7 linked regions of the Neurospora crassa OR74A genome follow. The protein of the gene in region 2 purifies or fractionates together with the protein of the main gene of each other region. This does not show direct contact. Links are inferred from orthologs where the notes say so. Each region holds a gene or a part of one and is shown on either strand. Other genes may lie near its edges. The genes, in order: NCU03702, NCU09894, NCU00105, NCU02511, NCU01524, NCU09131 and NCU00925.

What was found.
Region 1: the proteins of NCU09894 (region 2) and NCU03702 purify together in Saccharomyces cerevisiae (affinity purification with mass spectrometry, with the first as the bait; 5 studies listed by BioGRID). This does not show direct contact. The link is inferred for Neurospora crassa OR74A from reciprocal best matches to the Saccharomyces cerevisiae genes MAK21 and NOP1.
Region 3: the proteins of NCU09894 (region 2) and NCU00105 purify together in Saccharomyces cerevisiae (affinity purification with mass spectrometry, with the first as the bait; 3 studies listed by BioGRID). This does not show direct contact. The link is inferred for Neurospora crassa OR74A from reciprocal best matches to the Saccharomyces cerevisiae genes MAK21 and NIP7.
Region 4: the proteins of NCU09894 (region 2) and NCU02511 purify together in Saccharomyces cerevisiae (affinity purification with mass spectrometry; 4 studies listed by BioGRID). This does not show direct contact. The link is inferred for Neurospora crassa OR74A from reciprocal best matches to the Saccharomyces cerevisiae genes MAK21 and NOP2.
Region 5: the proteins of NCU09894 (region 2) and NCU01524 purify together in Saccharomyces cerevisiae (affinity purification with mass spectrometry; 4 studies listed by BioGRID). This does not show direct contact. The link is inferred for Neurospora crassa OR74A from reciprocal best matches to the Saccharomyces cerevisiae genes MAK21 and BRX1.
Region 6: the proteins of NCU09894 (region 2) and NCU09131 purify together in Saccharomyces cerevisiae (affinity purification with mass spectrometry, with the first as the bait; 4 studies listed by BioGRID). This does not show direct contact. The link is inferred for Neurospora crassa OR74A from reciprocal best matches to the Saccharomyces cerevisiae genes MAK21 and NOP12.
Region 7: the proteins of NCU09894 (region 2) and NCU00925 purify together in Saccharomyces cerevisiae (affinity purification with mass spectrometry; 10 studies listed by BioGRID, with this or other methods). This does not show direct contact. The link is inferred for Neurospora crassa OR74A from reciprocal best matches to the Saccharomyces cerevisiae genes MAK21 and NOP7.

The regions. Positions count from the first base shown.
Region 1 is NC_026505.1:2,139,447-2,143,635, reverse strand, and holds NCU03702 (rRNA methyltransferase NOP1), read left to right. Parts: upstream 1-1,389; 5' UTR 1,390-1,676; coding exon 1,677-1,791; intron 1,792-2,027; coding exon 2,028-2,088; intron 2,089-2,150; coding exon 2,151-2,385; intron 2,386-2,446; coding exon 2,447-2,772; intron 2,773-2,830; coding exon 2,831-2,997; intron 2,998-3,058; coding exon 3,059-3,126; 3' UTR 3,127-3,942; downstream 3,943-4,189. Other genes in the region: NCU03703 (60S ribosomal protein L17), read right to left, coding at 94-249, 342-529, 732-945, 1,134-1,136.
Region 2 is NC_026501.1:3,985,463-3,989,686, forward strand, and holds the start of NCU09894 (CCAAT-box-binding transcription factor), read left to right. Parts: upstream 1-1,424; 5' UTR 1,425-1,429; coding exon 1,430-2,236; intron 2,237-2,293; coding exon 2,294-3,970; intron 3,971-4,032; coding exon 4,033-4,224.
Region 3 is NC_026503.1:2,638,601-2,641,953, forward strand, and holds NCU00105 (ribosome biogenesis protein NIP7), read left to right. Parts: upstream 1-1,434; 5' UTR 1,435-1,535; coding exon 1,536-1,580; intron 1,581-1,658; coding exon 1,659-1,745; intron 1,746-1,925; coding exon 1,926-2,052; intron 2,053-2,144; coding exon 2,145-2,225; intron 2,226-2,294; coding exon 2,295-2,506; 3' UTR 2,507-2,853; downstream 2,854-3,353. Other genes in the region: pro-4 (glutamate 5-kinase), read right to left, coding at 2,931-3,353. UniProt on the Saccharomyces cerevisiae protein: Required for proper 27S pre-rRNA processing and 60S ribosome subunit assembly.
Region 4 is NC_026501.1:2,564,244-2,568,484, forward strand, and holds the start of NCU02511 (S-adenosylmethionine-dependent methyltransferase superfamily domain-containing protein), read left to right. Parts: upstream 1-1,441; 5' UTR 1,442-1,855; coding exon 1,856-2,747; intron 2,748-2,817; coding exon 2,818-2,854; intron 2,855-2,927; coding exon 2,928-3,116; intron 3,117-3,185; coding exon 3,186-3,701; intron 3,702-3,764; coding exon 3,765-3,922; intron 3,923-3,989; coding exon 3,990-4,241. Other genes in the region: NCU02510 (clathrin heavy chain), read right to left, coding at 1-455, 546-635. UniProt on the Saccharomyces cerevisiae protein: S-adenosyl-L-methionine-dependent methyltransferase that specifically methylates the C(5) position of cytosine 2870 (m5C2870) in 25S rRNA. Required for 60S ribosomal subunit synthesis and processing.
Region 5 is NC_026502.1:3,192,924-3,196,447, reverse strand, and holds NCU01524 (ribosome biogenesis protein BRX1), read left to right. Parts: upstream 1-1,204; 5' UTR 1,205-1,355; coding exon 1,356-1,501; intron 1,502-1,579; coding exon 1,580-1,797; intron 1,798-1,866; coding exon 1,867-2,480; 3' UTR 2,481-3,024; downstream 3,025-3,524. Other genes in the region: NCU01523 (GTP-binding protein ypt3), read left to right, coding at 44-183. UniProt on the Saccharomyces cerevisiae protein: Required for biogenesis of the 60S ribosomal subunit.
Region 6 is NC_026501.1:5,442,434-5,446,363, forward strand, and holds NCU09131 (nucleolar protein 12), read left to right. Parts: upstream 1-1,130; 5' UTR 1,131-1,432; coding exon 1,433-1,443; intron 1,444-1,506; coding exon 1,507-1,570; intron 1,571-1,631; coding exon 1,632-2,741; intron 2,742-2,810; coding exon 2,811-3,410; 3' UTR 3,411-3,866; downstream 3,867-3,930. Other genes in the region: NCU09130 (hypothetical protein), read right to left, coding at 1-528.
Region 7 is NC_026501.1:6,705,681-6,709,600, forward strand, and holds NCU00925 (pescadillo), read right to left. Parts: upstream 2,732-3,920; 5' UTR 2,604-2,731; coding exon 612-2,603; 3' UTR 501-611; downstream 1-500. Other genes in the region: NCU00926 (hypothetical protein), read right to left, coding at 1-133; gpit-2 (glycosylphosphatidylinositol transamidase 2), read left to right, coding at 3,153-3,306, 3,389-3,920. UniProt on the Saccharomyces cerevisiae protein: Component of the NOP7 complex, which is required for maturation of the 25S and 5.8S ribosomal RNAs and formation of the 60S ribosome.

The sequences.
Region 1 (4,189 bases), on a different chromosome or scaffold from region 2:
AAAATGCCATGCTCGCGTACACCGTTCCGGAAAAAAAGTGAAGCCCTCAATCAAAACATCCCCTCGTCCAATCACCTAGCTATCAAAGCGCATTTAAGCGGCAGTGATGGCACGGCGGACGCGAGCGCCACGCTGGCGGGAGGAAAGGTGAGCCTCCTCGCGGACAACGGCCTCGGACTTCTGGACGACCTCATCGGCCTCAGTGAGGATGAGCTCGATGTGGCAGGGGTTGGACATGTAGGGGTTGATCTAAAACATAACTGTTAGCCAATGACCGGCTTGATCGTCTATCTGCCGGCGCAGAAGCAGAAATCAGGGGGGTATCTCCGGGTTTGACGTACGCGACCGTGAGCGCGGTAAGTGCGGCGGCGCTGCTTGGGGGCCTGGTTGACCTGGATGTGCTTGACAACGAGGTTGCCAGTGTCAAGACCCTTGGCATCGGCGTTGGCCTCAGCGTTCTTGAGGAGACCGAGAAGGAACTCGGCGGACTTGGCGGGCCAGCGGGCGCGGGAAACACCGAACTGCTTGCCTATATGACGAAGAAACGGTCAGCACCGTGTCTTCTATGTCCTCCATTCGATTGCGGTTTCGTGTCGGTCGGTCGCGGTTCCATCATGCTGACAATGCCCCCCTATTCCCCCGCCACTTTGTCCTCCCCACTGTCGTCGTCGTCGTCGCATGATGTACCGGTTCGGGTGTGTTTGTGCATGTAAATATCGAGTAAGTCGTACCTTGGGCGGCGCGGCCGGTGCCACCAGCGTAGCGTCTCATGGGGACAGCCTCCTTCTTCTCAAGAACGTTCTCGAGGAACTTCTGAGCACGCTGGAGCTTCCAGCCATTGATGGCCTGGGCGGTCTCACGGGTGTTCTTGAAGGAGACACGGAGGTAAGAGCCGCGCGAGCGGGCGGACTTAGCCGGGGCAATCTCAGTCGCAGCGTACCGAACCTGCGATTTTGAACAAGACTCGGTCAGCGATTCCCTCTCCTCCAAGTGCTCGCAATGCTCGCAAAGCCGTCATTGTCGTCCGTTGAGACTTTCGTCGTCATTTCGGCTGCAGAAGCCCGAAAACTGTCCTGAAGCAAAATAACGGCGGCGATTCTCTCGTTCGGCGGATTTCGCAGGGATTTACTCACCATCTTGCCTGCTTGTCGATGAGAGGACGGGGAATCGACCAAGTGTGATGTTCAGAGGTGGTGATGGGTTCCAATTTTGGCGTACAAAAACCGATTTTCGCGATTAGGGCTCTGTGGGCACTGCGCAGGTGGCTCGTGCGGACCGTCACTTTGCCTGAGGCACGTGCACGCGGGGACAGTAAGTGCTAGCGCCGATAACAGCCTGCCTCCTGGACTGCCGGCCGTGCACGATAGCATCCGCAACAAACTGGAGAGCCTCGACCGCCACGCCAGGACGACAGCCAATTGCAAAGGCAGAAGGCCTCGACCGGAAAAAAAAGTGCTCCAGCGATGAGACTTCGTGCCCCGCTTTTTTTTCTTTCAATCCATGTCCAGGAAATTTTGCACCCAGCTCCAGCAAAAGCTCTTTTCCGAGTCCTCGACAGCGCCGCGCGACAACTCTAAACCCATTGTGCCTCGCACGACTGATCTTACAACGCGTTTCGGCCCAGAATCGCAACTCATACCGACTCCGACTTATCAATACCGACACATTCTATAAAAATGGGCTTCGAGCGTGGTGGCAGAGGCGGCGCCCGTGGCGGTGGTCGTGGTGGATTCGGTGGTGATCGTGGTGGCAGAGGCGGCGCCCGTGGCGGTAGCCGTGGTGGCTTCGGTGGTGAGTTTGGCCTCAATGCCATCGCCTGAATGGTCTTTGCGGTTATGTCGTTGCTTCTGTTCGTCATCTTGAGAGATGTCTCTGCGTCTGCTGCGGCCCGTGGTCGCCATGCATGCCTCTTGACTTCTCGTAGTAGGATGGCGATTTCAGTCGAACTTCATATCGCAACTCGACTCAACATGCGATGGCAACAGCAACCACATTAACGCAACACTTTACTGACAATGACTTAACAGGCGGCCGTGGTGGTGGTGCTCCCCGTGGTCGTGGCGGTCCTCGCGGTGGTGGCCGTGGCGGGTACGTCTTGTGTTCAAAACCCTTGATTACTCCAAAGACATTGACTGACATTATGAGTATAGTGCTACCCGTGGTCGCGGTGGTGCCCGCGGTGGCGCCAAGGGTGGTGCTGCTGGCAAGAAGGTCATCGTCGAGCCTCACCGTCACAAGGGCGTCTTCGTCGCTCGTGGTGGTAAGGAGGATCTCCTCGCTACCGTCAACCTTGTCCCTGGCGAGTCCGTCTATGGCGAGAAGAGAATCTCTGTCGAGAACGCCTCTAAGGAGGAAGGTGGTGCTTCCACCAAGACTGAGTACCGCGTACGTTTTCCAGGCTTTCCAGCTTGTGGCCTCAGACAAAGACTAACATTGGACTTTGCAGATTTGGAACCCTTTCCGTTCGAAGCTTGCTGCCGGTATCCTCGGTGGTCTTGAAACCATCTATATGAAGCCTGGTTCCAAGGTCCTCTACCTCGGTGCTGCCTCCGGTACCTCGGTCTCTCACGTTGCCGATATCGTCGGTCCTACTGGTTCCGTTTACGCCGTCGAGTTCTCTCACCGTTCCGGCCGTGACCTCATCAACATGGCTACTCGCCGCACCAACGTCATCCCCATCGTTGAGGATGCCCGTAAGCCCATGGCTTACCGCATGCTGCTCCCCATGGTCGATGTCATCTTCGCCGATGTTGCCCAGCCCGATCAGGCCAGGTAAGCCGACTTATACAGATCCTTGACACTGTATGTGCCTGACACTAACACATTTCAGAATTGTCGGCATCAACGCCAAGCTCTTCTTGAAGCAGGGTGGTGGTCTTCTCATCTCTATCAAGGCTTCTTGCATTGACTCCACTGCTCCTCCCGAGCAGGTCTTCGCCTCTGAGGTCCAGAAGCTCCGTGAGGACAAGTTTTTCCCCAAGGAGCAGTTGACTCTTGGTACGTCCATCCGCTTCCCTTTTGGTTGATAGAGCCAACAATAACTAACAATCACCCACAGAGCCTTACGAGCGTGACCACGCCATGGTTTCTTGCGTCTACCAGCAGAAGGAGTTCGTCGATAACTGAGTTTCGAATTAGTACTGTTCTATCTTCGTTGCTCTGTTCTGGAACCTTCACATAATTCGGTGTTCTACTGGCAGGATGGTTTTGTAAATCTGGAACGGCGAATGGCGTTTGGGTATCTGCCTTGTTTTAGCATTGTGGGAATAAAGCACCAGGGTTCTTAGACTGATATCCGGAGTGACCCCGGTTGCTTCCATCTTACGCCGCCTTTCACGATCTCGTCACGACTCCTAAGTCACCGCGCAACGAACCTCCTGTTCACCAGCGAAATTGGCCAGCCTACAACACATCAAGAACGATCACCAGTCAATCACCCTAAGAACGAGAAGGGCGCTGGATAGTCAAGCAGAGGTTGCTTTTATCGGCGCTTAAAATGCTCGACAGCTTGGTTCGTCTTTATGGCGTTTGAAATCTGCGAACTGAGAGTCCCTCCCCTTTCATCAGGGTATCACGTCGAAAACTGAGACTATTCTGGCCATTCGAGTTTCAAAGGAGATTGTTTGGGCCTGGGGACGCAAGGGTACTGCAAGCCAGTCATTACATGGCTTTGAGGATTATTTAAACATGCCTAGAGTCTATCCAGGATCAAGAGGATGCTGGGCCGTTGGTTTCGCTTGTTGATGAGCAAATTTGAGCTTGCTTAGTCCTATAGATTTACATATCAGAGTTTTGGGTCATCTTTGCTCCTTATCATCGGCCTTGTCGGCGGTCTTGTTACTTCTTGAGCTTATTGTTTGTTGCTTTATTCGATGCTGGATATGCTCTGATCTATGATTTGCATGCTATCTAGCTCTTCGATATCTCACCCCATTGCCTCTACACCTTCCCCGTACTAAGCGCTCTTGCACCGCTGAAAATCTTATCTTCTTGGCTCGTTTGCTTGCGGCGTTGATCAGAGCTGACAAAGTAACTCAGGCGACAACATATCCCGGGACGAGACGCGCAGCGTTAATGGAGAGTACGGACAGTGTAAGTGTGATCCGTTACCGGGTACTAAGCCAAAGTACCTCTACAACTTGTGGCCCAAGCCAGGCTAAAGGATATATAATTACTATGGTCCCGGGGA
Region 2 (4,224 bases):
GTAAAGGGGGGAAAGAATAAGGAGAATCCTTTAGAAATTGGGCAGCTAGCTATACTATTTGGAGGGTTTCTAGTACCCCTAACAGCTCTAATAAGGGGTATTAGGTACATTTGACACCCCTTATTAGCTCCCTCGAGGGGTCCCTGGCAATTGTAAATTTATATAGCGAGCCGGCTAACGGCTAGCACTTAGCAGCTAGTAGGTATACTATACTAAAATAATACATATAGTGAAATTCCTAGTATTTGTTAAGTATTTGCATTTATTAGGTCTAGCATTTACGAGGCACATTACTATAAATAGAAGTGTCCGGTGAGTGGGATTCATTAGTAAATCCAATATATACCCCACGGGCACTAAACTCCTAGTTGTAGGTCCTTCTACAAGTTAATACTAGTTTGTTTGTTAGTTTGGTTCTTTAGCTATACGTTGAATAGGAGAAATTGTTTAAAGCTTCTATTAGCCTTTAAAGAGAGAAAAGGGCCTCTGTTGGAAGCGTTATATAATAATAGCCAGGGTGGAAAATGCTATGGAAGCCTTCTTATACCCCTCTTTGTCTCATTTAGGACCTCCAAGACTGGAAGATATGAGAGAGTAGTCCCCTTTTAGTACCTGTCTGAATGAGGTTCAAACGTTTTTCCTACCCTCGACATTTGGTAGCTGGCTCTAGAGTAGAAATTGGCTTTTTTTTAGTACTAAACCTACAAACACACTAAAGTTAGATTGTACAATTCAATTCTAAATCAAATATTGAAAAAGTTTAATTGTACGGTCAATATTATCTATCCGTACGGTAATGAAAAATAGACTTTCATATTCTTTTTCTAACTTAATAGAGTTTAGTATTAACTTACCAAAATGCATTATATTTTTTCTGATCTTTTACTCTATCTAACACTCTTTTTGGAGTGACCAGACCTACCTAGTAGCCCTAGGAAACTCTCAAAGAAGATAGCTATTATAAATAAATAATTAATAAGATTTTAGATGAAAAAGGCTTAAGGGGTAGTTTTTCCATGATGCTTAGGGATATAGATTTGGTACCTACCTTAAAAAATTCCTCAAAAATGAACGAATAGTTTGGTGCCACTTTCAGTTTCATTAGTCTCCGTTTTACTAAGTTATACTTAATAAAGCAAAAGTAGACCACCGTACGGATAGACAATATTAACTGTACGATTAGACTTTCTCCAAATATTACCCAGCGTAGGACTTAACACTTTTAGCACTATTTCAGGCTTGCATCGCCAAACTCCACCGAATGAAACTTGATAAGAAAAAGTGTCAATCGAAGTACCGCGCCAATGATGAACCAGCCGAGGTTTGGAGAGTACTGCATAGTACATAGAGATTTGTCAGTGTACTGTGTACATCTGTACCTCCACTTGCTCCACTCTTCCTGCAAGACGCACGAGGGTCCGCTAGGTGCATGATCCAAGCATTTTTTTTTCCAACCCTTCCTCGTAGATGGTTTATTTTGCATCACCAACAGCCAACCTCGAGACACATTGTGCCGGCCCGCTGTCCATTGATTTCGGCAACGACGGATTTAGGAGATATGGGCTCATCCAAGTCACCGAGGCAAAGAAAGAGGAAAGGCATGGGGCCGGCTTTCGACGAAGCAGCAGCACTTGCTCAACTGACCGAAAAGATCGACCAAACTCTCGCTGGCGTCGGCACTGACCAACACGCGTCACCAAATCGCAAGAGACCGAACACCACAGCTGATGATCGAGATGCAAAGAGGCGCCAGAAATCTCTACTGGGCACTGAAGAAGGACAAGAGGACCGTTCCAGCAAAGACCAGTCCCACAATGCAACAAAGGAGGTTCTGCTGGAGGAAATTTTGGCCTTGGGCGGAGACGAGGATGATCTTGAGCTTGTCGCCAATGTTGATTCCGACAATGAAGAGGGACCTGGCATGAAATCTGCGTCGGCGCCCGAAAAATCCCTGGATAAGTCATTTCATGAGGAACTGACAAAGTTCGCCTTGAGCCTGGGCTTCCAGAACATACCCCGCGAGGATGACCTTGAAAGCGTGTCGTCTGAAAACCCCGTCGACGAGGAACAAGACGAAGAAGACGACGAAGAAGAGGACGACGACGCGGAACAAACAAAACAGGATGACAGCCAGGATCAGGAACAGCCTCTAGCCATTTCTGCCACAGTAAAAAGTGAGAGCACAACTACGACCGCCCAAGACACCCTGCGCGGGAAGAAAGGCAAGAACAAGCTGGTTAGTTCGACGCTCTCGCTGCCGCAGACTTACCTGGCGGTATGCTAACTTGAGTAGGGTTTTGAGCCCAGACCTGACTGGCATGCTCTCGACCTCGAGGGCCTACCTGCCTTCACACCATCTGCCGACGTTAGGCAATATTCTTCAGCGATTGCCAACCTCAAAGCTTACGCGGACGCTCTCTTGAAGGAGGACGCGGCAAGATACAACGCCCTCCAGGCCTCCAGCTCCACTCAGAAGTTCATGTCGACCATTATGTCTTCCGGCACCTTATCCGACAAGGTATCTGCCTTAACCTTGTCGATACAAGAGTCTCCTCTCCACAACCAGAAAGCCTTTGAAACCCTGATCGGGTTGGCCGGCAAGAAAAGCCGTAGTCAGGCACTCGCTGCCCTGGGCGCTCTAGTGGATCTGCTGGGCAATGGCACAGTTCTGCCAAGTAATCGCCGGCTTCGTCCGTTCAACATGCAACCCGCCTTGCTGGCCGCTTTACAAGATCAAGCTGTGCTGCATTGGGTTCAGGGCCAGAAGCTCCCAGCCAAGCTAACTGATTCTTACCTGATGATGTGGGCATACGAGGATTGGCTCAAAGCAGCGTATTTTCGCATTGTCCAGCTCCTCGAAATCTGGTCGACTGATCAGATTGAGCATTCGAGAATGCGCGCGCTGGAATTTGTTTTCACATTGCTCCGGGACAAGCCGGAACAAGAGGCCAATTTGTTGCGACTTCTTGTTAACAAACTCGGTGATCGCGAACGGAAAATTGCATCTCGGGCGTCATACCTCCTCTTGCAGTTGCTCAACATTCACCCTGCGATGAAAAGCATTGTCATCAGCACGGTAGAGCAAGAGGTTTTGCTCAAGCCAGGCCAAGGTCTGCGCACCAAATACTACGCCATCATCACCCTGAATCAAACCATCTTGAGCACCAAAGAGCCCGCTATAGCCAACACGCTACTCCGAATCTACTTCGAGGCTTTCCTTTCCCTCCTCAAAACTGGCTCATTGGGAAACCTGGAAGCGCTAAATTCCGAGGACAAATCTGGCGGCAGCAACAGGAAAGCTAAGAAGGGCAAGCGAAATCACACCGAGGCTTCTGCCAACGAGCAGGATACGACACAAAAACTCGTATCCGCACTGCTTACTGGTGTCAATCGTGCGGTACCCTTCACTACCGCCGACGATGAGACCATGGAAAAACATCTCGATACCTTGTTTCGCATCACGCACTCGTCGAACTTCAACACCAGCGTGCAAGCACTCATGCTCATTCAACAGCTCGCCGTGACCAAACATCTCGCTGTTGACCGATTTTATCGGACATTGTACGAATCATTATTGGATCCCAGACTCATCACGTCATCGAAGCAAGCATTGTACATGAATCTACTTTTTCGAGCCCTGAAGAATGATGCCGACGTGCGGAGAGTGAAGGCTTTTGTCAAGAGATTGGTTCAGGTGCTTAACCTGCATCAGCCGTCCTTCGCATGCGGGGTGCTATATCTGATTTCCGAGCTGGAGAACATGTTTCCTGACCTTCATTCGTTGCTTACTGTTCCCGAGGAGAATGAAGATGATGGCGTGGAGGCTTACAAGGATGTCAATGATGATGCGGCTCTGCAGCGCAGTCTCTTGCGTGAAGACGCACCAACTTCCCGTCGTGCCACAGGATATGATGGACGAAAGAGAAATCCCGAGCATAGCAATGCGCACAGAAGCTGCTTGTGGGAATTGGTAAGTGCCTATTTGAACTCTGATTGCATGTGAAACCAGTTTACTAACCTCAAAACCACCAGGCTCCTCTTCTATCTCATTTCCATCCATCCGTACACGTTTATGCCAGTAACCTTCTCGTCCGTCAAAAGGGCCTGCCGAAGCCGGATTTGGCCAACCACAGCCTCATGCATTTCCTGGACAAGTTTGTCTACCGCAACCCCAAGATTACCGAGACCAAGCGCGGAAGCTCAATCATGCAGCCGGTCCTCGCT
Region 3 (3,353 bases), on a different chromosome or scaffold from region 2:
ACGAAGCGACTCGAATCTTCAGCGGTCTTCCTGTCACCATATACTGTTGGCTCCTGTTCGGGCTTGAGGGGTATAAAGTGGGTACCTGGAGGGCGGGGCACATGGAAGCTTTCCAGTGGGGTCCGCGCTTTCGGACTGTCTCTCCGTCATCGCAGTACCTGCATCGACCTGACTCCAACCAGAGAGGATTGTCGAGACCCAAACAGCTGGACGTTACTGCAATGCTTCTTTTCACTTCCGTCTTCTCCTTCCACTATAATCCTTCACCGTTGTTCTTTGTCTTCGTTTGCGCAGATGAACAACAAGGGACGTTCTCTCCCAGTTGGACGAACCACAATGTCGGTATCCTCACACTCCAGCATCTCTCTCTCACCATACATACCTTTTCCCATCTACAGGTCTGGCCAAGAAGGCGCAGTAAGGTCTTCGGCGATTACCGCGTAAGGGAAGCTCCTTGCGCATCCGTGATTTCTACGACGAGATAGTCGAATACGTAATGTTGCGCATCGTGGTGGGTTGGGTATCATGAGATTCCTCTAACCAGCGCGCCCAACGTGAGCCAGTTTGGTTGGTCACACTTCATATTCCTTCGAGATGGATGAATTCGGTGCATTCGGTGGTATTCTATACCACAATACTCCCACGTCTCGTTTGCCACTATGTAGTCATCAACACCTCCCCACTTGAGAACCTCGGACAGGAACGGAGACACTGGTTGAGGAGTCTGAATGGCAATCGATCAACTCGATGCTTGATACTAGTTTGGCTTCTTTTTGTGTCAGTAGAAGTTGACTTATAATCCCTCTTTGATGGGTGCAAGGCCATGGCTCGACCCATTCACGACCAGAACCACAAGCTGCCACTTCCAACGTCAAGTGGCCTTCTAGTTACGCTTTTGTCAGTTGAACAGCGAGCTTCTTTGCTGCGATATCACTCCGATATGCATTACAATCTCTGGAAAGCTAACTTGCACGGTTAACCCTGCCAGCAATCTGGGCTACCAGGACGATTGAGAAGTCAGCCAGGCTCGCCGCGCAGGAAAACAATCGTGTAGATGAGGACCGAATCCTGAAAGAGAGTAGCCCGCTGGATACAGCTGGAGATCATTGGCCTCGACTGGGGTTTGTTTCTTCCATCACACCAGGACTTGGATGAACATCGCGATGCAGGAGTTCCCTCTGGAAATATAAACTTCATGGATGTGGCATATTATCCGCTTCAGGTTGTCACTTCAGTTGCCGGCCTGTGACAGTGTCGCTAGGGCGGCACGCTGGGGTCGCGCACGGCAAACGTAGAAGCGGGTAAAAGTGGGACTCGGCTATTTTAGCTACGAGTATCCACTGCAGCCATTGCATCTAAAGCGGAGAATTGATGGCTTGGCGTCTCCCCATTATCGGAAGAGTGGGTTTCCTTGTCGATAAAAAAAAGTTCTGGCAGAGAAACGCGGGCGAACCTCCATCGGTTGCGGCTGTCAGCGCTTGGAGATTCCCTCGCATTGCATCACCAACTCCATCAATTCACAACACACCGACAAGATGCGCCCTCTTACAGAAACGGAGCAGAAGACCGTCTTCGAGAAGGTCAGTTTCAGTGCCGAAACAATGTCATATTCAAACAAGGATGAACAACAGCTGACTGATTGCTTTGGCACCCTAAAGCTTGCAAACTACTGCACCGATCTCAAGAGTCTTATCGCTCCTCTCGATGATGGCGACAGATACGTTTTCCGTCTGAACCACTCTCGCGTACGTCCTGCCTCTCTCGCCTCCCTCGCTTCCTCTCGACCTTGCTCGATACACCGTCTCTTCCCTTTTGGCTGTGCGCCACCGAGGACAACGACAGCCGTTGCGACGGCGATGACAGCCACCACACCACCACCAACCAGAATAAGGGCCAGATAAACTGACAAAGATGATGATATACAGGTTTACTACGTCCGTCTCTCCGTTGCCAACCTCGCCACCAGTGTCAGCCGCGATGCCCTCCTCAGCCTGGGTACCTGCCTTGGAAAGATGACCAAGACGGGAAAGTTCAGACTTCACATCACTGCCCGTACGTTCCATGTCCAATGCCGAATCCTTATGCGGTTACTGAAACAGTTGGAATGTATGTGAAAGCTAACAACCTGATTACCAACCTTATAGTTCCTATCCTCTCGGAGCACGCCCGTCATAAGATCTGGGTCAAGGACAACGGTGCCCAGCCCTTCCTCTACGGCTCGAACGGTATACCTCTCCATCTCCTGGTTCTCTGTCCTACTAGCCTCATGAAAACTAACGGGCATTTGAAAACAGTCGTCAAGGCCCACGTCGGCCGTTGGTCCGAGGACTGCCCCGAGCACTCCGGTGTCGTCGTCTACAGCATGGCTGATATCCCCCTTGGCTTCGGTGTCACAGCTCGTAGCACAACCGAGGCACGCCGCCTTGATCCCACGGGTATCGTTTGCTTCCGTCAATCGGACTGCGGCGAGTACCTCCGTGATGAGGACACCCTCTTTGCTGGTTAAAGTGTCGGTCCGAGTAAGAAAGAGGGAAGGAATTAACGAAGGCTTGGAAAAGAGAAGGTCATATGAACTTTTTTTTTGCTTTAGGGAAGTACCATAAAGGCGTCCTGGCGTTTACAACACACACATACACTTTTGGTCAGAATCAGATACCTCCAGCATTTTTATCTGGGCAGATATAATTTGATCTTTTTTCTCGTCGAGCAATGGGGCAGGACCGAGACATACCTACATCCTTTATTAGGAAGTGTGATGGGATCCTCTCGACCTCGTTGTTTTTATACCTGTGGAAGCCATTGTTCGTCCAGATCCCGACTTACGCAACACTCAAATTGTATCTGTTTACGTCGTTTTCAACACGTAATTTCAAGGTACGAACCCCGTCCATGTTTTTGTATAATCGCACTTTTTCTACCAAGCCATACCTTCAAGCCCGATGTCCCCCAACAGGACTAGCCGGCCTACTCACCGTATTGTAAAAGCTCACACTCTCCCTCTGCGCCACATACTCGCTATCCGCATACCCCAACAGCTGCCCAATCTCCACGCTCTGATGTCCCTTAATCCTTGCAATCTCGGCGCTCGCGTAGTTGGTCAGGCACCGGCCCACCTCGACCGCTTCACCCTCCCACATCTTGCCATCCGGACCGGGCGTAGACCGGCGCTTGTCAACGACGCACAGGCGCACAGCCTCTTGCTGAGCAAAGAAACCCTCGACGTCCACTACGCCGACGGGAAGCAGCCCAGCTTTGCCGAGGAGAGCCTTGTACGCGCCCTGGTCGATGTACAAAGTGCCATGCGGACGCAGGCCGTGCAGGATCCAGAAGTAGCGGTCGCGGACGGGCGAGGG
Region 4 (4,241 bases), about 1.4 Mb from region 2:
ACGCGGCCCTGCTGTTGTGAGATACCGACAACAACCATCCACTTTCCGTCGGCGCTGGTCCGATAATTAATTATTTGGTTGCCCTGGAGATTAGCATTACGATCGAAGACCTTGACCGGAGCGGGCTGGTTCGGGTCGAAGACATCCCAATGGTAAACAGAGCCATCTGTGATCAAGCCAAGCGTGGTCTCGCTAACCCACTTCCAGAACAAGACATCCTCGCTCATGTTTGTCGACTTGAGCTTGGCCTTGTTTTCGAGGTCGAAAATCTGGAGTGTGCGCGCCTGGGCCTTGAGGGCAATTACTTGGCGCGTCCAGTGCATTATGGCACTGTCGGCCTTGATGGGACGTCGGATAACATTATTGCCGTTCTTGAGATCGACGATGATGACTTCAGGGGACGCTGCCTCGTCCTTCTTGTCGCGAATACACACCCAGTTGTCCGATTCTAGAGTCTGGGAGCGGGGGGTTCACGTCAGCAGGGGTGCCAGAGGAGGCGCGACAACTGTCACTAGCAGAGTCAGAGCAAGGTGAGGACAACGTACACAGGTATTGAAAGTGATGGCAGTCTGGTTGATGCCGAGGGCGCTGAGTTGCAGCAGCTCCTGGAATTTGATGGGTAGGGCCTGAGCCATGATGGGCGGTGGTGTTGCGCTAAGCTGCGCGCAGAGTGACGAAGATTAGCAGCCAACTTATCAAAAGCGGCTGGAAGGTGAATCCGCTGGGAAGTAGAAAGATTGGGGAAATGGAGGCTCGTGAAGCTCCGTGGACTGAATGGAATGGCGGCGACGTGAAAGGAGGCGGTGGTGGTGGTGGTTGGTTGTACTTTGGGGGGAAAATGACCGAGCTCCCGAGAAATGGGGAGGGGGAAAGAGGACGGATGAATCAGGTAGGTAGAGGTAGGTAGGAGGTTGGAGGTGGAAGGATTAACGCAAGGTCCAGAAGGCAGGTACGCAGTAAAACCCGCCGCCAAACTGTGGGTGAGAGGTGAGTCGCGATTTGCCGCTCAGTTACAGATACGTAAAGTAAAGGCGAGCAGGTACCTCGATGTCACCTCACTTCAATGCTCCAGCAGAAAGAATAGAGAAGAATCGCGGTTGTTGAAGGATGCAAAGCAGCAAGAGGAGACGTCGTTTGTTACGGGAAGTTAGTACCGTGAGAGATGAAAGATACAGCAGGAAAGATGGAAGGTGCTGAGGTGAGATGCCTCTCCAGCTGTCCAGTGTGTTTGTACATGCCGCAACTGTTCAGCGCAGACGGAAGGTACCTCTAGTACCTCTCAGGTTACCTGCCTGCTTTTGAGTGATGTGTTAACACGGGACCTCGCGGCCGGGGCGTCCACCGCCCACCGGCGCCGGCTCCATTCAGTGCTTCCCCCTGCGTCGGGTGCGCCTAGACCAGGCGGCAGGCGCCTGCCCGGGAGGCCTGCCTGCCCCCTTCGCTTCAAGCTGTCCGCCCGGTCCAGGTTGCCCGCCCTCATCCCGTCATCCTTCTACTTTCCTTTGCCCGCATTGATCGCCTCTCCTGCGAGGTCCGTCAGACGGTCCTTCCATTTCCTACCTCTAGGTACCTTATACCTCCAGGCCGCCTGCCTCCGGGGGCGCCGTTCATGCCGGGCTCCAGGGGCAGCTGTTCCCTACTCCAGAACAGCCCAGCTCCAGGGGTAGCGTCAGCTGTTGCTACAGGGATTCCGAACTTGGCCCAGCTTGACTAATGTGGGGCACTGACCAATGGCTCACCTTTTGGGACCGCAGTGAGGTGGAACCCGATTTGAGGAAAGAGACTTGGCATTGCTATCGATAAGCTTTTTCAGAAAAGAAAATCGACCCGGAGAAATATCCACAAGCGCCTGTCGATGGTGGGCTATCAGTGTTCAAACCAACCCCAACAACATCCCAATCACCACCAGACGACCAGCAATACCATCAAAATGGGTGTCGGACGTCGCATGCAGAAACAGGGCCCTCCTGAGCCCCTCTCGGAGGAGCACTTCGCCAACCTCAAGCGCAAGAAGGGCATTCCCTTTGACGAAACCACGACCGAAGTCGACACTAGAAGATCCAAGAAGCAGAAGATTGTCAAGAAGCAGCCCAAGACATCCGGCTCCAACACTGTCGCAGTCAAGGGCGCCAAGAAAGAGGTCAAGGAGGTGAAGAAGACTGGCACAAAGCCCGCCCACAGGTCCAAGGAGTCCAAGAAGCCTAAGAAGGCAAAGCAGCCTTCGCCCGATCATGACGAGGAGATGGACGACGAGTTTGGCGCGTCCGACCTGGAGGGCCTTGATATCGACGGCGATGAGATGGACGTTCAAAAGCTAGGAGACGATTTCCTCGGCACTGACGACGACTCGGTTTACGATTCCGACCAGGACGGTGCTACCAAGAAGGAGGCATTCGTCTTCTCTGACGATGAGGATGACGAAGAGGATAGAGAGGAGAAGCTCACAGCCGCCAACATCGAGGGTCTTTCGAGGAAATTGGATATGCAAAGAGAGAAGGAAGCAGAGGAGAACGAGGCCGAATTGCGCGACGAGGCGCTCCAGACCAACATCGCTGGTGGTGATGACCTCGGTGATGACGACGACCAACTTCAGACTAAGACCAAAACTTTGCTGGCACCCGATCTCCAGATGTTGAGAACGAGGATAACAGACGCCATCCGTATCCTGGACGACTTTTCGAATTCGGCGGAAGAGGGCAAGAGTCGCGCCGAGTACACCAGCCAACTCATCAAGGATATCTGTGCCTGTAAGGACCCGATGTTCCTTGCGCAATACTTCTCGTGAAATGCACAAATGTTAACTTCAGGTTTTGCCAGACTACGGTTACAACGAGTACCTCGCTGAAAAGCTTTTGTATGTTTTACAACCTGTCGCATGCCTGTCTGCGGCGATACCACCAGTGGGGAAACTGTCTGACTGTTTGTAGCAACCTGTTCCCTCCCAGAGAGGCGTTCGCCTTTTTCGAAGCCAACGAGAGTGCCCGCCCCGTCGTTATCCGTACAAACACCCTCCGAACACATCGCCGCGATCTTGCCCAAGCACTCATCAACCGCGGTGTCACACTCGAGCCTGTAGGCAAGTGGTCCAAGGTCGGTCTGCAAGTCTTTGACTCGAAGTACGTATATTCTAAATCAGGACTACAACGACGCGATTCATGCAAATGGCTAACAACTGGGGCATAAAGCGTTCCCCTCGGTGCCACGCCTGAGTATCTGGCTGGTCACTACATCCTCCAGGCCGCGTCTTCGTTCCTGCCCGTGATGGCTCTCTGCCCCCAGGAGGGTGAGCGTGTTCTCGATATGGCCTCTGCCCCCGGTGGCAAGACCACCCATATGGCGGCGTTGATGAAGAACACCGGTGTGATCTTTGCGAACGATCCCAGCAAGCAGCGTGCCAAAGGTTTGATCGGCAACATTCACAGACTGGGCGCAAGAAACGTTATCGTATGCAACTACGATGCGCGTGAGTTCCCCAGGGTCATGGGTGGCTTTGACAGAGTCTTGCTCGATGCCCCATGCTCGGGCACTGGTGTCATTGCCAAGGATCCCTCTGTTAAGACCAACAGAGACGAGAAGGACTTCCTGCAGCTCCCCCATCTCCAAAAGCAGCTTCTCCTGGCTGCCATCGACTCGGTTGACCATGCCAGCAAGACTGGTGGTTACGTTGTCTATTCGACGTGTTCCGTTGCCGTTGAGGAAAAGTGCGTTTTCCATATCGTTCTTAACTGTACTTTCAGAAGACGCTAACCCAAGATTACAAACAGTGAGCAAGTCGTTGCCTATGCGCTCAGCCGCCGTCCCAACGTCAAGCTCGTCGAGACTGGCTTGGCTTTCGGCAAGGAAGGCTTCACCAGCTTCATGGGCAAATCATTCCACCCCAGCCTCAAGCTCACCCGCAGATACTACCCCCATCTTTACAACGGTACGTTTCGCCTCCTTATACCCCCTTTCCCTCCCTCCCCTCCTTCATCACTAACACAACCCTCCAGTCGACGGTTTCTTCGTCGCCAAGTTCCAGAAACTCGGCCCCACGCCCGCCACTGCTGTCCGCGCCAACGGCGTCGACAAGTCCAACAAGCCTCTGGACGGCCAAGCTTCCCAGGAAGCCCAAGAAGTTGTCGACAAGACGCCCATTGGTGCCGAGTGCGAAGCCCAGGATGACTTTGGCGGTTTTGATGATGGTGAGGACAAGGAGTACATGGAGCGCGCTAAGCGCAACGCTATGCGCAGGAGAGGTTTGG
Region 5 (3,524 bases), on a different chromosome or scaffold from region 2:
GCTCTGGCGCGAGCCTACCGCTAACATGCGATCATTTATCTAGAAATCTACAAGATCGTGTCGACCAAGAACTTCGACAACGGCCCCAGCGGGTCCAACGAGGGCCACCAAAACCTGTCTGGCCAGAGCATCTCGCTCAGTCAGACCGCGAACGACCCCCAGGCGAAGTCTGGCTGCTGTTAGGAGGTGCTTGATTCTCCGGGCCGGGAACCGAGTGGCCCTGAAGGGTTGAGGTGCAGGGTGCAGCAGAGTACAACAGGGTGCCGAACCAACAACGGCGTCACATATGTCTGACATGAAGCAATGGAGGCTTATGATGAGCAATGAAGAGCAGCATCGGGGGAAAAGTACGGACGGATCCTGCCCAGTCTTATTACATCACGGTCGCCGATGGGATGGTCTGTTTTTCTTTTTCTCTCTATTTTTTTGGGCTTTTGGGGAGGGGGGAAAGGATCATGATGCTCGTCTTCCAGCCTTTCCTTTTTGTTGTTATTACTACTACTACCCCTTTCTTCCCTTTTCCCCCCGTGCTGGTCGTTGGAATTTTCCTCAATGTGGTTAACGAAGCCATCACTTGCGCATGGATTACGAAAGATATTATTTAGTTGAAATGAACTATGGGCGATAAACAGCCCTTAACTCAACCTGGTACATATTGCTCCACGTTGTCAAGGTCTCCATCTATTGCATCCACAATGTGGGAGAAGAGGAGTACCTCGAGAGTGAGTACCTATGTAGCGATAATCGTGCAGGATCTCGTTATGACATTCAAGTTGATTATGTGCGACAGCGGGAAACAGTCAATACAAATTAAGACATCTGGGCTTGCCTGATGGATTATGGCGACTGTCCCTCATTACTCCCATCGCGTCACCCGAGGCGGTTGAAGTGGGTTTGAGTGCGGACAAGAGGCCAGTCCCGTCCCATCCCCCACTGTAGGGCAGACAAGAAGAACGCGTGGAACTTGGACAGTGTGTGTAGGCAATGGAATCCCCAGAACTTGGGGGTCCGGATTCCAGGTTGGGTCCATCAGTGGGACAAATGCGGGTTGCCCAGACCGCCGACCGCCTTTCAGCTGTTCCAAGCAGGGGGGCCGGAACAGGGACGCTAGTAAGATAAGAGAAGCTTATCGGAGTGGGGCTGCGATTGGCCGGCGAACTTTTTTTGAGATGGAACAGCCTGCACTCCATCACTGCGCTTCGCCCGCGACGTTCGTGGATTGGAGCATTGAATTCACCTTTGCAATCCGCATTCCGTTTTTCTGCCATCACTTCCACCACAACCACCACCAACTTCAGTCACCCTTGTTTTTCGCCCGATTTTGATACCCAAAGAACGACAAGAACAAAAAGAAAATGGCCGCCGTTTACAAGTCGCTCTCGAAGAGCGCCAAGAAGGTCGAGGACACGGAGAACGACAACAACACCACCACCACCAATGGCGGCTTTCGGAAGAACAAGCAGAGAGTTCTGATTCTCTCGTCCAGAGGCGTTACCTACAGGTACATATAGACCCTGCATACCTGCAAGATGGAAGAAGAAAGGGTCAATTGCTAACCGCCTTTGCGCCCCGAGTACAGACACAGACATCTCCTCAACGATCTCGCAGCGATGCTCCCCCACGGCCGCAAAGACGTCAAGTTCGATTCCAAGTCCAAGCTGTACCAACTGAACGAGCTTGCCGAGCTCTACAACTGCAACAACGTCATGTTCTTCGAGGCGCGCAAGGGCAAGGATCTGTACATGTGGTTTAGCAAGGTTCCTAACGGCCCTACGGTCAAGTTCCACGCCCAAAACTGTGAGCACTATCCATATCCGAGATACGCATTGTGAAAGAGGAAAAATCGGGTTCTAACAAAAAGCACAGTGCACACCATGGAAGAGCTTCACTTCACGGGTAACTGCCTCAAGGGCTCGAGGCCACTCCTCTCCTTCGACCTCGCCTTCGAGCAAGAGCCGCACTACCGCGTCATCAAGGAGGTGTTTCTGCAAATGTTTGGCGTCCCCCAGGGCGCGCGCAAGTCAAAACCGTTTATCGACCACGTCATGAGCTTCAGCATTGCCGACGGCAAGATCTGGGTACGCAACTACGAGATCCGAGAAGTGGAGAAGGCCAAGGGCGAGAAGGACAGCGAAGGAAACGACATTGTCCCCGAGAGCGACAAGTCATCATCGAAAAAGAGAAAGGGCGCGCCCAACGCGGAGCTCAAGGACACAGACGTCAGTCTGGTTGAGATCGGACCTCGGTTCGTCCTAACGCCCATCATCATACAGGAGGGCGCGTTCGGCGGCCCCATTATTTACGAGAACAAGCGCTTTATCTCCCCCAACCAGGTGCGCTCGGAGCTGCGCAAGGCCAAGGCGACCAGGCACAACACCAGGGTGGAGCAGGTCAAGGAGAGGCTCGGCAAGCTCGAGACCCTCACGGCCCAGGCGAAGAAGGAGAAGGATGTCTTGGATACCCGGGAGCTCTTTGCTTAGAGAAAGGAGGAGGAGGGGAAAGAGAGAGAGAGAGCTTTTCACAACACGATTTCATCACGTCTGTTCGCTTGCGACACATCAAAGCAACGCACGCCTTAGGTTTAGGGGTAATCAAGGAGTTTTTTGTACTTTTGCTGGCTGGCTGGTTTGGTCTGGTTCGGGAAAAAGAAAGGAAATCGATTTGCATTGTACAACATTACAGTATTCGTGGGGATGTGTGAGACGGACGAGCTGTCCTCTTTTGACAGTTGGGAAAGAGGATCATGATCGAGTGGTAGATGAGCACTCAGCGTATAAGGTGCTGGCTCGAAAACGGACACATCAGATCAAGATTGAGTGATGAACGCCGTCCTGGCTCCGGTCTTGGTCGTGTTGAAAGGAGATGGTCAAAGAAGGGTAGGAGAGCAAGTACTTTGCTCGGCACCTCACTAGCGGTTGACTGTCTATAACCACACTCCTGAGGGAGATGTTGTTCGCATAGGACCTAGACTCTACCTTAAATGCAGTTGCGCTGTGAGATATTGTCTCACATTTTTGCTCCATGATTTGGGTTGTTTCCATATATATAAGAGACACGAGGTGTCTCTTTCGTTGAGTTGTTGGGATGATATCACCACCTTCAGTACACTCCTCAAGGAGAAGAAGAAGAAAAAGTACCATGTTTTGTCCCAAGGTAGCTTTGGGCGACATCGTCCCAAATTTCAGATTTTCTGACGGACTAGCCATCTTCTCAGGGGCTTTGGGTCGTCTAAGTCATGTAGTGTGCCTGGGAGTTGGCGCGAGTTTGGTGCTTCTTGAAAACAAGAGATAAGGACTGGAGCCGATACCTAGGACGTCGCTCCTTAAAGCGAAAGACAAATGGCTTGAGTCTAATGTTGAACACGTATGGCTAACGCTTTTGATCAAAATTTAGAAGCAAAAAAAACGACTCGGAGTACTTTGGTCATGACTCAGGTTCACTCATCGATATCGGAGGAGAGAGTTGAGGATAGGTTGTAGAGGGTTCACTTCACTCATTGTGAAAGTTCGCTACAGGGGACCTGT
Region 6 (3,930 bases), about 1.5 Mb from region 2:
CTCTTCGTCACTCAGGTCTTCCGAGGCCTCTTCGTCACCCACTTCTGCTTCTTCTGAGGGAGTGTTTCGCCCGCTGGCAGTGTTTTCCGGTTCGTAATCAGATTTGATTTGCTGCTGAAGCTTGCTAGGGCTGCGCTCGAACGTCCGATCGCGGCGGTCGGTGAATTGTCGAGTGCCAGGCTCACCCGCGGTGTCTACGATGTCGCGCGATACTCGATCTTTCGGTGGTGTGTCGTAGAGCCTCTCTGTCTCTGCCTCGGAGTCATTAATATCCACGTCCGACAGCTTGCTCTCGTCGTCAGTCTCAGCGCCAAGGTCCGAGTCGACGCCATCGCGATTGTCAGTTCGGACCGATGTCTCGCGATGTTGAGAGTGGTTACTGTTCATGTCCAAATCCATGTCGTCAGGATCTCCATGCTTGTCTTCCACGTCACTAAGTGGGCTTGACACATCGCTAGGGCTGTGTTGGAGCAGAGGCGGAGGGGGGCTCGAGAGAGCCAAGGACAGCGCGGTGTCACCGGTAGCCATCGCGGATCATAGAATCCGACGAGATTGAAACTAAGCAACGACGCGCCAATGTTGGGTTGAGCAGCTGAGCAGTGGAAAGTTGGACGGCCACGTAGAATTTAGTCGTGGACGGCGGACTGGACGTCCGAACTGTACGGGCAGCTCAAGAGCAGCACCTGAAGTTGTGGCGCCACGATCAGGGTAAAGTGTGTTTATGCCGGAAGGTTAAAATGTGTGCTCGCACACAATGAAATGTCTCGGAGATATGGCTTTGTTGTCGGTACGAGGGCGCGATTGTCAAGAGATAACGTGCGGTCTGGGTAGGTAAAGTAGTAGGAAGACAGATCGGGAGAGTGAGGAGCGGGCAGTAGGTATCTGGTTGACGACCTAGACTGGGAGCTGGACAAGCGCCCACAGCACCGCACCAGCACGCAACACAAATGGGCAACCGGCAGGTTTCTGGGGGGCTCCATTGCCTGCCCGCTTGCCTGCCGCCGCCGCCCGTCTCCAACAGCCCAGCGCACCACACAAAGGCGATGGCAGGCGGTGAGTCTTGGCAGCTTTGATAACAACTGATAAGCGAGTTTTTTTTTTTAATGGGAGGATGCAAGATGTTCCACGGTCCTCGACTCGTCCTTACGATGCGCAGTGGGGAAGGTAGAAACGACGACCCTTTGAAACCCTGGACCATTGAACCTGCCTGCATAGAAACTGGTCTTGCCTTGTACAACATCCTGCTAGAAATCAGAAGTGGAAGCTTTGCAATTCGATTTTGACAGCATTTACAGCCAATCACATCTTTCGCCTCGTCGTCGAACTTCAGTTGTTTTTCCGTGCTCTTAGAACTAAGTCAATCACAAGTGCTTGATTGGCGAATCGTGCCACTTTCCCATCCATTGCGCTTACACACGACGGAAAACTCACAATGGGTAAAACGTGCGAACAGCCCTACGCTACAGTCAACGCCATTCTTCCAGTATTCTGACACCACTATTATAGTAAAGGACTCGTTGCGCCGGTGAAGAAGGTTGATCCTAGCTTGGATGCTTTGTTTGCTACCAGTGTAAGTCATCTCGCTCTGACCAGACAGGCAATTGGAAGTTTACATGGCTAATCTTGTGTAGGTTGGTCCAGCGAAGCCCCGCCCAGCTGCAAAATACTCCGAGCCCCTACCGACAAAGTCCAAGAAGGCGCCAGTACCTTCCAAGAAAGAGGAAGACGTTCAGGACGAGGGCGATGACGAGGAACTGAGCGAGCTTGACGAAGAATACGATTCCGAGGTCGGCATTGGAGAGGATGACGAAGACGACGAGGCTGAAGACAACAGTGACAGCGAAGACGAAGCCGTCGCGACCCTCGAAGTTGTTGTAGAACAAGGAAAGGTCCCGGAAGAAGATGGACCGAAACGGAAGCGGAAGCAACCCGACCAGCACGACAATCTCGAACACAAATACCTGTCCAAGTTGGCGGAGGACGATGAAGAGCCGGCTGGCAAGCGTCTCAAGGCCGACGAGCAATCCGGAGAAAAGAAGGATACCGCCAAGGCCGAGAAGAAGGACGACGACGACAGCGAGTCTGCGGATGAGGTCCCCGTTCACGAATCGCTAGCGCCCGATGCTGCCCAGAACGAGATTGAGAAGGCCAACCGCACCGTCTTCCTCAGCAATGTCGCCGTCGAGGCCGTCACCTCTCGTTCGGCCAAAAAGGCCTTGATGAAGCATATGGCTTCAGTGTTGGACAAGGAGGCGAAACCTGCGCAAAAGGTTGAGTCGATACGGTTCCGCTCGACTGCCTTCGCTACCGCTGCCATTCCCAAGCGTGCCGCTTATATCAAGAAGTCCGTGATGGAGGCCACTACGAAGTCGACAAACGCCTATGTTGTCTACAGTACCCCTGCGGCCGCTCGTCTTGCCTGCTCGAAACTCAACGGCACAATCGTGTTGGATCGCCACATCCGTGTCGACAGCGTTGCCCATCCTGCCCCGGTAGACCACAAGCGCTGCGTCTTCGTCGGTAACCTTGGTTTTGTGGATGACGAGACAGTACTGCAAGTGAAGGTAGACGAAGACGGTAAGGAGGTGACCGAGAAGAAGAAGCGGACAAAGCAGCCTATGGACGTTGAGGAAGGTCTCTGGCGGGTATTCGGTAAAGAGGGCGGCAAAGTTGAGAGCGTTCGTGTGGTCCGCGACCCTGTCACCCGTGTCGGCAAGGGCTTCGCCTACGTTCAGTTCTGCGTGAGTTATCACTTCTCTCTGTCTCTTACTTGCCCGTTATCAACTAACAACTCTGTTCCCCCTCCGTAGGATGAAAACGCCGTCGAGTCAGCCATCCTCCTCAACGGCAAGAAATTCCCGCCCATGCTCCCCCGCGAGCTACGCGTCAGCCGCTGCAAGGCCCCTCACAAGACCCTGCGTGCCATCGAAGCCAAGAAGCTCAAGGCGCAGGGTGCCGTTCCGGAAACTATGAAGAAAGGCAACAACGGGAAGAAGGGTCCTGGCTCCAAGAAATCCGACTACGCCCCCAAGATCTCCGCCGAAGCCAAGACCATCGCCGGCCGCGCTGAGAAGCTCCTCGGCAAGTTCACTGCCAGACAGGTCATCGGCTCCGACAAGAAGAAGACTTTCAACAAGCAGGACAGATACCAGGCCAACCAAAGGAGGAATCACGCCTCGGGCGCCAACACGGAGGCGACCGGTCCCAGAGTCCCGGGCGCCTACAAGTCCCCCGAGAGTTTCATTCTCGAGGGTAAGCGTGCTAGTGCGGCAGACGGAAAACCTAAGGATCTCAAGTTCAAGGGCGCCAAGAAGAACAAGGCGCCGAATGCGGGTGGTGGTAAGAAGAAGACTGGTCGTGCTGCTGCGAGGGCTTCGAAGTGGAAGGTTCAAGGGAAGGGGAAGAAATAAGTGCTAGGCCATTTGCCTGATGTTTAGGGTTGTTTGCTGGTATAGAGCCAACGGGCAGCAGCCGGCGTGGTGCGGGTGCGCGCGTTTCATCCGGCGCGGCCCGTGGATTTTCAAGCTTCAAGAAAAGGGGCAGAATTCGAAAGTGAACAGAAGCCTTCGATTCATGACGCGCGCATGTATGGATAGGATAGGATAGGCTGTAATGCAGTCATCGCATATGAAGGTATCTCAACGGACTGTCCCCAACCGCGTGATACTTCGCAATGACGGGAATGTGGAGGAAGAGCCTTGGCGCCCAGAACTAGGTACATATGTAGTTGTCTGAAATTGCAGTATAACCGTGGAACGACTGTTAAGCCTGGCTCCGTGGTTCTTGCGACAGGGAATCGCAAACAATACAAAAATTAACAACACGGCCACATTGAAAGAAAATAAAAAAGAAACAACGTGTAAAGCCTTCAAGTGCACCATACCAACTTTCTACATGATGTCTCGTGGAATTGTGGGTGAGCTGTGTAGG
Region 7 (3,920 bases), about 2.7 Mb from region 2:
ATGTGGAGGGGGCCCCATTCCACCGATTGGGGCGGGTTTCGTGCAGTTCATCTGATGCGATGGAATTAATCTCTTCAGTGTCCTTATCCCAATCCTCGTCGCCGGAATCTTCTTGATTCAAGTGTGAAGACATTGCATGGCCCAGTTTAGTGGGTGCTCTTCCCGCGTTGGCAGGGTTGTTGAGTGCAAATTCTGGTGATCAATCACTAAGGACGGGAGTGACAAGAGATTGAAGGTCGAAGAACCGCACTGACGTACGAAAGCATCCCAGTAGTAGTACCACAGCAACAAGGATGGAGAAACTGATGAACCTCTGACTCCTCACTCAATTCTTTTACTTTGTACTCTCACCTTTCGTTGGTCCTATTTTCGGTTCGTTCCAACTTCTCTTGGGCGTTACGGTTTGGTTCGTAGCGACCCCTAACCCTCAGACGAAAGCCTCGTGGGCGCTCGTTTTCATGTCACGATTATTCACATTTGCATCAGTTCAGGACGACGAGTAGGATTCAAAACTTGTCGATTACACAAAAAGAAAAGAGAAAAATGAGCCTTTGGTATCCCATTTCAAAACATAAAGTGCTAAAAAATTACGCCTTGCCAGTGTTTTAACCTTACGCCTTCTGCGCCTTTTCCTTCTCCAGCTTTCTCCTCTTGGCGCGGAGCTTCTCGTCCTGAGCGCTCTTCTTGTTGTTGGTATACTGCATCTGCTCAAACAGCTTGCGCTTCTTCTTGCTCAGCATGCCCTTGGCGCGCTCCAGGTCCTCCGCCTCCTCGCGTGCCTTCTTTTCAAGAGCCTTGCGCTGTTCTAGCTTGGCTTTGGTCTTGGAGTCTACCTTTGTATTCTGCACCTTCTTGCCTTGGAGCTCGGCTTCTAGCTCAAGCTGACGCTGGAGGGTCTTGGACTCCTCCTCATCTTCCTCAGCATCCTCCTCCTCGGCCTCCTCGGCATCCTCCTCGTCACCCTCCTCCTCTTCTTCATCGTCCTCGGCCTCATCAACATCCATGTCGTTTTCGACATCGGAACCATCCTCAGCATTACCCTTCTCGGCATCCTCGAGGTCGGCTTCAATAGCCTCGGCCTCGGTTTGCTGAGCCTCAAGGGGCAGAGTAGGATCGTACTGGCCAGGGGCGGCCTTGACGAAGGGGCTAAGATGGGGAGGGAGAGCGGCGCCAGGAGCATAGAGCTCAGGGCTCTTGAGTTCCTCGTCGTTGACGCAGTCCCATACCCATTGGGGCTGGACATATATCCTGCCGGGGTATCTCTGGTTGGGTCCGACCTTCTGGGCCGTCTGATTGTCCTCGCCATCGCCATCCTCGTTGGTAGCGGCTTGTACGACTGGCCTGTCAATGATGTGATGGGTGATGGAGGGATCCGACTCGTCATTTGTGAAGGCACCCTCGCCGAGGACGGAATCCCAGCCTATCCTCTTGCAGCCAAAGGCACGAAGAATGAACTCGAGAGGCTGGCGGGGGGTCTCACGGGAGAGGTAGAATGTGAAGTTGGCGAACAGCTGCGAAGGGTCACTGCTGCTGTACGCCGGCTGAGGAAGAACATCACCACCAGGGGCAACTGGCTCGAACTTGTCGATGGAGTCTGTGGGCTTCTCCTCATCGTCGGCCTCGGCATCTTCCTCGGCAGTCTCGTCGCTCTTGGACTCGTCCTCCTTCAGTTGCTTGATAATCTTGTCAACCTCAGCCTGGACCTTGGGGTCAGGACCCTGCTGTTGTTCCTCCCCGTTTGTGACGGCCTTGGTCTCGCCCTGGGTGGCCATGTTGACACCCTCCAGAGAGAAAGCGCCGAGCTCAGCACCGTTCTCGTCCTTGAGCTGGTCGAACTTGGGAGGATACTTGAGGCCGATCGAGCTGTAAAGTCGGTAGTTGACGAATCCAAGAAGAGTCATGTAGAACTCGACGAAAGTGCCCATAATGCGGAAATCGACATCGCCGACGATCCTCTGGTTGAACTTGTAGGGAACGAGCCAGAGAATATCCTCGCCCTGGATGTTGGCCTGGTAGTAGATACCCTTGATCGACAGGAACGACTTGCGCAGGCTGTGGGAAACAATAAGGTAGTGTTGGAATTCGAGGCAGAGACGCTCGCAGCGGGCGATCATCTTGGCGGGAACCGCGCTCGTGGAAGGGAGGTTGGCGAAGAGGAAGAGCATGGACAAGCAGTCATCGAGATCGCGGAGCGCGTCGTTGAAAGTCGGGTAGCGCTCACGGATGACGTGGTTGAGAGTGTACCTGGGCTTGCCAGTGGCCTCGGGGCGGGCAGCATGGCGCTCGAAGCGGGCGGCATCCGAAACATCACCTCTGCCAAGAGCACGGGAGATCTTCTTCTCGAGCACCTTCTGGTCACGGAACTTTTGAAGAAGGGGCTCGTGGAGGAGGTACTGAATGTCCTTGGTGTAGTAGAAGGTGGTCGAGGCAGTGGCCGACTTGGAAACCTTCTTCTTGTTACGAGGCTCGCGCGGGTAGATACCCTTCCAGATGCAAAGCTTGCGGAAGTCGGGAAGGCTAAGCTGCAGCTTCTTCACAGCCTGTGTGCGGGTGATGTAGTTCTTGGCCGCGCCGGCCTGGCCCTTCTTCTTGATTTTTGGCATTTTGGGGTGTGGTGGTGGTGGTTGTGGTTGTTGGGTGTAGGTGGAAGAGTGAGAGAAGGAGAAGAGGACCAAGGATGGATCTCTTCAGTCTGCAGACTCGATCGTTATCGAAGCCAATTGTAGGTGGGGGCGCTCTGTGCACTTGCAATCAACTTTTTTTCTGACCCTCGCGGTCCTGAACTTTTTATGCCACTTCCCACCGCCTGAGCTGATCAAAGATAAGATAACGTAGCGGATGGAAAGACGGGAGGCATCAGATAGGCACAGATGAGGCTACTAGAATACATACTGGGCCCGTCTGGCCCAGATAGGTTCCCGCTCCCGTCTGGATTGGATTCCAGAACCCCTTGTCCCACAGGGACCCGCCAGCTGTGGAGGCCGGGCCAGCTGTCGGTCTGCTTTGGCGGGGACAGCGATTGACAAGGCGACCTAACGTGCTGGGCGCGACTCCTGTATAGCGCAACTGGACGGGCATGTCGTTAGAAGTAACTTGACCCTGGGACAAGTTCGACATCACAGCTCCCACCTCGTCGTATGGCGAATTGAACAATGAATGGCGGCAAGGTAACGTTGAGGAGGACGGCTGGCTTATACGCCGGTGCTGCCGTCCTGCGACTTGCCCTCTTTACTCTGTTCCCCGGTCTTCCAGACCTCCTGACTGGCCGTGTCGAGATCTCAACGCCAGTAACAAGCTTCAAGCGCCGTATGTTGTAGCTTTTGTTTTTCTCTTCGGCATTCGTCGCATCGTCTCGAGGAACACAGGTTTGCTAACTACCAAAATCTAGTCCAAGAAGGCCTCTTCCTGTATAACCATAACGTCTCTCCTTACGATGGCGGCGTCTACCACCAGGCGCCCCTCTTGCTGCCCATCTTCAACTTGCTCCCGAGCTTCGCGGCGTTTCCCATCTTCACGTACCTTCTCTACATCGCTATCGATATTCTGAGCGCCCATGCTCTTTTAAGGATTGCAGAGTCTGGCGAGGCCAGCTCGTCTGCGCGCTTCACCTCCCCGCGCCGTGACAAGCGTTGGAGTGGTGCCATCATTGCCGCGCTCTTCCTGTTCAACCCCTTCACCATCGCGACATGCATTGGGCGTTCGACCACCGTCTTCACGACCTGTGCCATTCTCCACGCCGTCGCCAATGCCATCTCCGGCAGACCCTTTCACGCCATGGTCGCCCTAGCCTTCGCATCATACCTCTCCATGTATCCGCTACTCCTCCTCCCGCCTCTCATTCTTCTTTGCTATGACAGGCAGAAGTTGCCCGCTACCGGAGCGCCCAATGCGTGGATCAAGTTTACCGCGACCATGGTTAT